2 linked regions of the Callithrix jacchus genome follow. The protein of the gene in region 1 purifies or fractionates together with the protein of each later gene. This does not show direct contact. Links are inferred from orthologs where the notes say so. Each region holds a gene or a part of one and is shown in the gene's direction. Other genes may lie near its edges.

Region 1 (5,045 bases):
TGTTCGGGAATTCTGCCTGTGTATAGTCTTGTCAGGAAAGTGTCTGGATCATGGCCAGTCAGACTCACCTCCTGAAACATCAGAATCCCAAGGGAGCCAGCTGGGACTGGGGCTTCAGAGTCTCTTCCATCCAGGCCCGGGCAGGTGGGGGGGAGCTCCTACAGCCTGTGAGCCACTCTCCTTTTGCTGGGGTGCCAAACTCCTCCTCCTTGACCTGTTACCTTCTACCAACCAGAGATGGCAACGTTTTAGTGCTTGGCTCCTAGGCTCATTCACGGAAGTAGCTGGTCCACTTGGGGATCAGTGGCACCTCAGACTCTGCATGTGATGACTCTCCCACCTGCAAACCGCGTGTGTCTAGGCCCGTCCTCCCCATCAGAGAAGGCCACCCTCTTCGCCTGCTGTCCTAGAAAAACTCGCAGCAGTGGGGCCCGCCTCACCCACTCCATGGTGAACTGGTCCCAGGCAAAGGCCGCCTTCTCTCTCTGGGACTATCCAATGGGACTCTCCCCACTTAGGTCCCCAGGGTATTTGAGTCCCACCCCCGGCGGCTCAGTCTTTACAAAGGGACCTTTAAAAAAGATAAATCGGAGTGTGTTCCTCCGGGTCTCAAGTAATCCAAGTCCCCGCCCCACCTGGCCCCTGACCCCTCTGCTGCGGACCCCCGCCCCGTCCAAGTGTGGCTCCTTTGGGCCCTGCAACCCATCAGGCCAACGGGGGGGCGGGGCAGGTACGGGGAAGACCGCGGTGGGGGGAAGCCCGGGTGGGGGAGAGGCGCCGAACAGGTGTCGGAGGGCGGTGCCGGGGACGGGGCAGGTGCTGGGACGCGGGGTAGGTGCGGGGAAGGCGGGGGGTGCAGGGCAGGAGCCGGGGGTGGGGGTCGAGGCCGGGCAGGTGGTAGGCGGCGGAGCCCTCCGGCCCAGGACGCCGGCGCGGCCCCGAGACGTTTTTCCGCGACCTGGGTTGATGAAGAATGCATGAAGGGGCGGGCAGAGGGTGGGGGCGGAGACCGTGGGTTTTCTGCGGGGAGCCCTCCTCAGTCCCAGAGCTCGCCTCGGCCCGCCCCCTCCCCGCCCCTTCCCCGTCCCCCGCCCCGCCCCCTGACAGAGGCGCGGCGATGACTCCCTCAGTGGGGCACGCAGGGGTCGCTTGCGCCGCAAGTCCCTTAAGTGGCGCCCGACGCAGCGTGGCCACTACCCAGGGGGGCGCGGGCCCGGGCCTGGGCCTGGGATGGATGAGGGCTGCCGGGGTGGGGTGGGGCATGGCGGGGGCAGGGCCACGCGGAGGAATGGGGCGGGGAATAGGGGCGGGGCCGGACCTCCGAGCCGCAGCCCGCGTGCGAGGGGGCGGCCGGGGGTGGGCGGGGACGCGCCAGGTTGGGCGGGGCCGGTAGGGACTGGATGGGGCGGGGAATAGGGGGCGGGGCCGGACCAGGTTGGGCGGGACCGGGAGGGCCTGGATGGAGCGGGACATAGGGGGGCGGGACCGGACCAGGTTGGGCGGGACCGGGAGGGCCTGGATGGAGCGGGACATAGCGGGGCGGGGCCGGGCCGGGTTGGGCGGGGCCGGGAGGGCCTGGATGGGGCGGGGCATAAGGGGGGCGGGGCCGGGCCTCCGAGCCCTGTCCGCTGGCCGCCGGCGGGGGCGTCACTGCGCGGCGGGCCGGCGAGGCCGCGGCATGGGGCGAGTGCAGCTGTTCGAGATCAGCCTGAGCCACGGCCGCGTCGTCTACAGCCCCGGGGAGCCTCTGGCCGGGACCGTGCGCGTACGCCTGGGGGCGCCGCTGCCGTTCCGAGGTGGGCGCGGGTCCTCGGGGAGGGCCGTTGGCCGCACCTGCGCGGGGCCGGGGCTCCCGGAAGCGGCTGCCGTCGCGGGGCCGGGGGTTGGGTCCGCGGAGTCGCTGTCGCCGCCGCCCGGGACTGCTGGGGCGCGGGCTTGGCGGCGCCGGGGAGGTGTGGGCGGCGCCGCCCTTCCGCGTCTGCTCTTCCTGCCTTCTCGCCGAGGGGCAGCGGGGTTCCGGCGGGGCCTGAGGCCAGGGCCTGAAGCGGGTCCGCTGTGAAGCCGCCCTGAGCGGGGCGCACGCAGGCCTGGGACCCTCCCGGTCCGCGCTCGCACCTGCTGGGCACCTTCCCGCACCCGGGCTCCCTTAGCCCGCGCGCCCGTTGCAGAGCGGTTCCTGGCCCGGGCGTGCGGTCCCGGCAGGGCACAGACACCTGCTGCGGCTCCCCGCGCCCCGGTCCCCCTCTCGCAGGCCTCGGGGCCGGCCCCCTGCCGAGGCGGACTCCCGGACTGGGGATCGGGTTGCTGCAGTGGCCGCTGGCAGCGCGCCCTGGAGGTGAGGCAGGCCCGCGAGGTGAGGCTGCTTTCCCAGCACGGGGCCTCCGCGCAGGCCTCTGCCTGGTCCCTGGCTGTGAGCGCCGCGTCCTTGCCGGGGGCTTCTGTACCTCGGCCTCCTGTGGGACCCACCTGGGCTGCTTGGTCTAAGCCGCTGCCCCTGCGCTTCCCGCTGGACCTTGACCGCTGGGCCTCCGCGTGGGTGACAGCACCGCTGTGCCTGCCGAGGACCCACAGCCTTCGTTCCGTCCTCAGCCGCCTGCGACAGGTGGTGGTGCTGTGGCCCTGCCCTCGCCCCTGCCCCGCCTGAGGCTGTGGATCCCGGGAAGAAGCCAGGTGGTAGGCGCTTCTGTCAGGCTCCTGGGCCTGTTGGGCTTCCTGGGTTGACCCCATGGCCTCCGTTTCTCTGTTCGCACCTTGCGTTTGGGGTCTGGGGGGTGCAGGTGTGGCTGTGGCAGGGCAGAGATAGCACACGTATCCCTTGGGTACAGGTGAGGTGTGAGGTGAGGTGGGTTGGATCCTAGCTGAGGGGAGCACCCTGCCCTGCCGTCCCTCCCCTGGGGCGAGAAGGCTATTGCTGACCACAGGGAAAGGATGGCCTTGTGGTGCGTGACTGGCCTGAGTGGGCAGGCTCCCCTGGGCTGCATGGGTGGATGCATGGACGTGGTGCACGCCTGTAATGCCAGCACTTTGGGCAGATGGCCCAGAAGCTGAGGGAGCCCTGGCTGATGGTCCCACCTCACAGAGGATGGTCTGAGTGAGGGAGAAAAAGGAGGGTCATCAGCGAGGGAGTAGAAGGGCCCTGATGGGCCAGAGAGCTGATGATTCAGGCTGCTGGAAGTGTGGTGGAGGGCTGTGCCCAGGCCCCTCGGGAATTTTCCCCGGCCCTGCCGGGGATGGGAACAGAATGACCCTGGTTTCTTTTCCTCATTCAAAGGATGTTTTTTTCTGTCCTGCTAGGAGCCAGTAGGGAGGCCCTCCACCCCCAGGAGGACAGCAGGCTTGCCTGGCCCCAGGGCTTGCTCACTGATTCTGTCTGATGAGTGTTGGTGACAATCAGCACCCAGACATGGACACAGGCTGCCTTCAGGGCTGATGCAGAGGGAGGCCTGGGAAGGAGCAGTTTTCTGTATCCCAGGCTGGCCCATTCCAGGGTTGGGGGTCAGACAGGACCACCCCATGTTCTGCTGTTACTGGGATGGGTGACCAGGGCTGACAGTGGCTCTTGGAGTGCTCATGTGTGGGCCCGATGCAATTCTCTGGGTCCCACGGGCCAGCCTCACTCACCCTCAGCACCCTGGAAAGTGGTACGGTTATTACTCTCATGATACAGATTTGGAAACAGGAGAGGGGAATGGCTCACAGGTCACAGCTTCCGTGGCAGGGGTGAGGCCTGTGAGATGAGGATGAGGATGAGGAGTGGGTGGCTCTTCATGGTCCAAGTGCAGGTGGTACAAGGGAAGGGCTGCTGAACAGCTAGGGGCCTCAGCTCGAGAAGAAAGTTCCAGTGGTTACTTGAGAACACGGCCCAATCTTGATCTTCCTTAGAATCAAAGCAGCCTGCAGCCTCCAACAGCTTGTCGTTGGTTGTGCATCTGAACACAGGAAACCTTTTTTTTTTTTTTAAGAGACGGAGTCTCACTTTGTCGCCCAGCCTGGAGTGCAGTGGCGTGATCTTGGCTCACTGCAACCTCCACCTCCCAGGTTTTAGCAATTCTGTCTCAGCCTCCTGAGTAGTTGGGACTACACATATGCCTGCTATACCTGGCTAATTTTTTGTATTTTAGTAGAGATGGGGTTTCACCGTGTTGCCCAGGCTGGTCTCAAACTCCTGAGCTCAGGCAAATCTACCCTCCTCAGTCCCCCCAAAGTGCTAGGTGTGACTCACCACACCCAGCCAGGAAACTTTTTGTTTGAGACAGTCTCACTTGGTCACCCAGGCTGGACTGTAGTGGCACCATCTCAGCGTACTGCCACCTCTGCCTCCTGGGTTCAAGCGATTCTCCTGCCTCAGCCTCTTGAGTAGCTGGGATTACAGGTGCACGCCACCATGTGTAGCTAATTTTTGTATTTTTAGTAGAGATGGGGTTTCACCATGTTGGTCAGGCTGGTCTTGAACTCCTGACCTCTCGATCTGCCTGCCTTGGCCTCCCAAAGTGCTGGGATTACAGGCTTGAGCCGCCGCGCCCAGCTGGAAACATTTTTTGAACCTGTATGAGGGAGGAGGGATGGGGCTCCAGGGCCCCTGCAAAGAGGTACAACCTTCAAGTCCAGAAGGCGGAAGAAGTCACACTGACTAGGTGACTGCCGCTGAGCCACTCAGTCCTGCAGCCAAGCCCTGCCCGGAGGCTTTCCTGTTTCGAAAGGCTAGGTTCCCTTCAGCCTGTGCTACCATCACAAGCAGTCTGCAAGCTGGAAAGAAGAGGGAGTGGGGACACATGCCTCTCCAGCAGCAAGGAGACCCCTCACAATGGACCCCATGCACTGCTCTCACTTCTCTGTGGGCAGAACTGCATCTTATGGTCCTGCCTGATTTGACCATTTAAAAGAGAGAAACATGGCTGCTGCCATTGGTTTGGCCGGTGACAATGGGCTTCCTGGGGAATTCACCCAGCCCGAGCTGAAGTAGCTGCTGAGAGGCGGAGGAGCAGCTCCAGGTGTTTTGGCAAGGAAGCAGCTGGCAGCTGTGTGGGAGTCCCGTGCCTCCCCTG
Region 2 (4,593 bases), on another chromosome or scaffold:
TGCCTCACAGAGTTGTGAAACTAATGAAGAAATACTTGAGAAAACACTTCATACATTTTTTAATATATACTATTTTTTTATGGTTCCAGAGGTATATACACATGACCCCATACTGATGGGGAGACATACATTAAACATGAACAACTTTTTAATGTGTTGATTAGACTTTAATAAAGTAGTTTAAAAGAGAAACCGACTTGGGTGGCAGTGTCCCAGAAACTAAAACAAAAGGTATAACTTGCTGGCTCTTCACTAATCTAGAGCAACAAGGGAAAAATGCAGTTCTCTTTCTGTTGTTTGTTTAAGGCAGAGTCTCACTCTGTTGCTCAGGCTGGAGTGTAGTTGGCACCATCTCGGCTCACTACAACCTCCAAGTGATTCTCCTGTCTCAGCCTCCTGAGTAGTTGGAGTTACAGGCACCTACCACCATGCCCTGCTAATTTTTGCATTTTTGTAGAGGTGGGGTTTCACCGTGTTGGTCAAGCAGTCCTCAAACTCCTGATCTTAGGTGATCTGCCTGCCTCAGCCTCCCAAAGTACTGGGATTACAGGTGTGAGCCACTGCACCCGGCCGAAAAATGCAGTTCTCAATCCAGGTTCAGGTTCACATGTAGTTTTGGGAGAAGGCAGAGGCATAGCTACCCCATCAGAGAGGCAGCAATGCCAAAGGGAGGGGCTGAGCCAGGAAGGACACAGCAGAACTTGGTGGAACCTGAGGAGTGCCTCCTTCCAATGGGCATGACTTCCAGAAGGCAAGAAGAAAGTTAGTTAAGGAAAGTTTCCACCACAGCCTCTGCTAGCAGGCTCTTTATTGGGATATGGCATAAGTTCATTTCAGAATGTGTAAGAAAATTTTAAAATTTGTGTTTTAGACGGAGTCTATAATGAGTGTTCTTGATAAGTACTATATTTCAGTTAATGTGAAATAAAGATTTCAACTTTTGAGATATTAACTTGTGCAGTAATTTTCATTAACATGATATGCTGTCTTATTGAAAGTATCTGTGAGAGTTTTCCCTGAAAACCTTTTTGGCATTTAAACTTGTACAGTAAAAGCCTCTGACTAGTATTTCCCCCCAAAGAATGATTGCCTTTAATTTACTGCAAAAAAATAGTTGGTTTGTTTTTGTATTTGTTTTGAGATGGAGTCTCACTCTTCTGTCCTGGATGGAGTGCAGTGGTGCAATTTCATCTCACTGCAACCTCTGCCTCCTGGGTTCAGTGATTCTCCTGCCTCAGCCTCCTGAGTAGCTGGGACTACAGACACATGCCACCACACCTGGCTAATTTTCATATTTTTAGTAGAGACGGGGTTTCGCCATGTTGGCCAGGCACGTCTTGAACTCCTGACCTCAAGTGATTCACCCACCCTTGCCTCCCAAAGTGTTGGGATTATAGGCATGAGTCAGCATGCCCAGCCCAAAAAAGTTTTCAAAATTGAATCAAAACTTTTAGATCCTGAATCGAGAGCATCACATGACAAAAAATACGGTGTGATGTGGTGGTGGTCTTCAGACCCCAGCTGACTTGAGAGTTACTAGGATTTTTAAAGTAGGGTAAAGAGGAGAAATGCAGTGTCACAATTTTGCGATTCTGTCAAAATGAGCTAGAAAGCAGCTGAAAAGAATTCACGTTGGATCAGATGTACTTTCATCTCGATGGCAGCTTTGAATTTGTACCTTTTGTAGTCTTTGGTCAAATTGCTGGTGACCAAAAGTAGCTGCCTTGTCGTTGCTGGACTTCTAGAAGGATTGGGACTGCCCAGCTGCTGTGTGAACTCGCCTGTCACCTCTCCTTCCAGAGGCCTGACTTGTCACTGTGACAGATGGGTAGAGGACTTTGATTTCTGTTTTTTATTTAACACTAAGGTATACTTTAGTACCTTATATATGCCTGAAAGATACTCAAATATGCCTGAAAGATACTCAAATAAATGCCTGAAAGATACTCAAAATGGTGTAATGCATTTTAAAACTGCACTTATTTGATTGCAGTGAACCTTAACGTATACTTCAGCTGTGATATGGTGGGAGAATTCTCACATTGGATGACCAGCTAGTCAGTGTTTTATGCTGACGCTTGAGTGGGCATCTGGCCCTCTGTGGGCACTGGACTGTCATGAAAGGCTCCATCTCAACCACTTCTCCTCTTTTTCTCCTTCCCCCTTTCCTGCGTGCTCAGGGACGTGTCCTCTGAGTCGGACAATAACATCAGACAGATCAACCAGGAGGCAGCGCACCGGCGCTTCCGGTCCCGCAGGCACATCAGCGAGGACTTGGAGCCGGAGCCCTCGGAGGGCGGGGATGTCCCAGAGGTACGATGTCCCCAGAATGCTGCAGAGCCCTGCAGCTCCTTCTTTCCATGTTCTCCAGACTGATTTTATATCATCAATTCTTCTCTCAGTAAATGTTGTTGAGAATGTAAAGATGATGTTGACACAGTGAATTAATTACCATATGGATATTAATTAATTTGAAAGTGCTATAAAAGCCATATTTGACAAGTACATGTGGCTCTATTATTGATAGAACTGGGAATGACATTATTGTTTTTTTCCCCCAAGATGGAGTCTTGCTATGTCTCCTAGGCTGGTGTGCAGTGGTGTGATCTCGGCTCACTGCAACCTCTGCCTCTCAGATTCAAGCAATTCTCCTGCCTCAGCCTCCCGAGTAGCTGGGATTATAGGCGCCCGCCACCACACCCAGCTGATTTTTTTGTTTGTTTCTTTGTTTGTTTGTATTTTTAGTAGAGACAAGGTTTCACCATATTGGCCAGGCTGGTCTTGAACTCCTGACTTAATGATCCATCTGCCTCAGCCCCCGAAAGCGCTGGGATTACAGGCATGAGCCAATGAGCCCAGCCAACATTATCTTTCAGTATGAAAATCTGAAGATATTTTCACTTTGTAATTTATTTTTCACCAGCGTCTAACCATGTTTCATTAAATGACAACTTAGTTATCATAGTTGAGCTGTTGAATGAGCCCTATAACTTGTTTGGATATCACATGCACGTTTTTACTGAGTCGCTTTGACACCTTGAAAGAAATTTATTACCATGAAAATATAAATTTGGGTGAATAAAAATTTGCAATTTTCCCTTTAAGCTGTTATGATATACTACTTAAAACTTTATGAATTAAACAACAGATGAGCCATAAACTTCCATGATGTCTTATCAGCTCTGTTTACATACTAAAAATCCATTTTAGACGTTGTCTTAGGAAGATCATTCACAATGCGGTGATTAAAAAGGAAGTCCATGTCAAGAGAAAAGTGTGTGTGTGTGTGTGTGTGTGTGTGTGTGTGTGTGTGTGTGTTTTGGCACATGCATAAAGTAACAAGTGCTGGAAATCAGTCACCATTCAGAGAGGTGGTGGTATAAAGTGGTTACGAGCACAGCCTCTGTCTAGAACCAGGCCTCTTTAGTTCACATCATGGCCCTACCACTTGCTAGCTGTTACCTTGGGCAGGTCATTCTCTGTGCCTCAGTTTCCTCATCTGTTAATTGAAGGTTTTAAATATATCTTATCTTCCTCACGATTATTGTGAAGGTTGTGAGAGGCGCTTAGTAGGTATTATAGTTATTACTGTGGCTATCGTTGTTACATGCTTTTGTTGGGGAGCTGGGCAGATCCCCATTTCCTAGCATTTACCCCAGTGTCTCCTTCTCTGAAAGCCTTGGGAGACTATTTCAGAGGAAGTGAATATTGCTGGAGACTCTCTCAGTCTGGCTCTGCCCCCACCACCGGCCTCCCCGGGATCTCGGACCAGCCCTCAGGAGCTGTCAGAGGAACTGAGCAGAAGGCTTCAGATCACTCCAGACTCCAATGGGGAACAGTTCAGCTCTTTGATTGTAAGTATTGTTCTTACAAAAAATAAAGCTAAGCAGTGTTTCGTTGTTTTTTGTTTTTGTTTTTTGTTGCTTCAGGAGAATCTTTTATGTAAATAGTGAGCAGGGGTCTTCCAGTTCCCAGTTAACTCACATTTTCCAAAGTTCCTCCTTCCCTAGGAGAAGCAGGAGCATACTAAAATTAGCCTAAGCGGGTGAGAATCTTTCTTGATTTGGAAGGCAGCTTTGCTCACCCCATACCACTAACACTTTCTTGGTTTATAAAGAACTCAAAGAAATAAAACTCCATGATGTCTGTAAATATTAGCTTCAACCTTGTAGAATCCTTTCCCAGCCAAAAGACTCAGGACAGTAGTACCTTACCACAAAGGTAGGATGTCACAGTACCAATTAAAAGCCATCAGACCTAATTAGTTCTCTTAAATCATATTCTGCAGGCTTTATAATTCTCATTTCAGTGATACGGGCATGAGGCTTACGTGGCCCATCCAAAACAAGGTTTGAATGGGAGATAGAAGACATCTCCCAAGTCCAAGAGTATAAACCCTTGAGAAAGGTTGTGAAATTGTGACACTGTCATCAAGGTAGCATTTTAACTTGGGCTCTCAACCATCAGAAACATACTTTCTAGAAGCTTCAGATGGGCCCAGTGCCTGAGCCCAGTGGAATCAGTCACAAAGACTTCCATGTTTGACAATACAGAATGGTGCAGAAGTACCCCATAGAAAATCGCTGCTTGTGC

The links. Proteins that work in one complex are often made in the same cells at the same time.
Region 2: the proteins of ARRDC1 (region 1) and NEDD4L purify together in Homo sapiens (affinity purification with mass spectrometry; 3 studies listed by BioGRID and IntAct, counting the BioPlex papers as one, with this or other methods). This does not show direct contact. The link is inferred for Callithrix jacchus from reciprocal best matches to the Homo sapiens genes ARRDC1 and NEDD4L.

Annotation. Positions count from the first base shown.
Region 1 is NC_133502.1:185,956,914-185,961,958, forward strand, and holds the start of ARRDC1 (arrestin domain-containing protein 1), read left to right. Parts: upstream 1-1,649; 5' UTR 1,650-1,678; coding exon 1,679-1,796; intron 1,797-5,045. UniProt on the Homo sapiens protein: Functions as an adapter recruiting ubiquitin-protein ligases to their specific substrates. Through an ubiquitination-dependent mechanism plays for instance a role in the incorporation of SLC11A2 into extracellular vesicles.
Region 2 is NC_133514.1:101,372,677-101,377,269, forward strand, and holds part of NEDD4L (E3 ubiquitin-protein ligase NEDD4-like), read left to right. Parts: intron 1-2,180; coding exon 2,181-2,313; intron 2,314-3,677; coding exon 3,678-3,854; intron 3,855-4,593. UniProt on the Homo sapiens protein: E3 ubiquitin-protein ligase that mediates the polyubiquitination of lysine and cysteine residues on target proteins and is thereby implicated in the regulation of various signaling pathways including autophagy, innate immunity or DNA repair.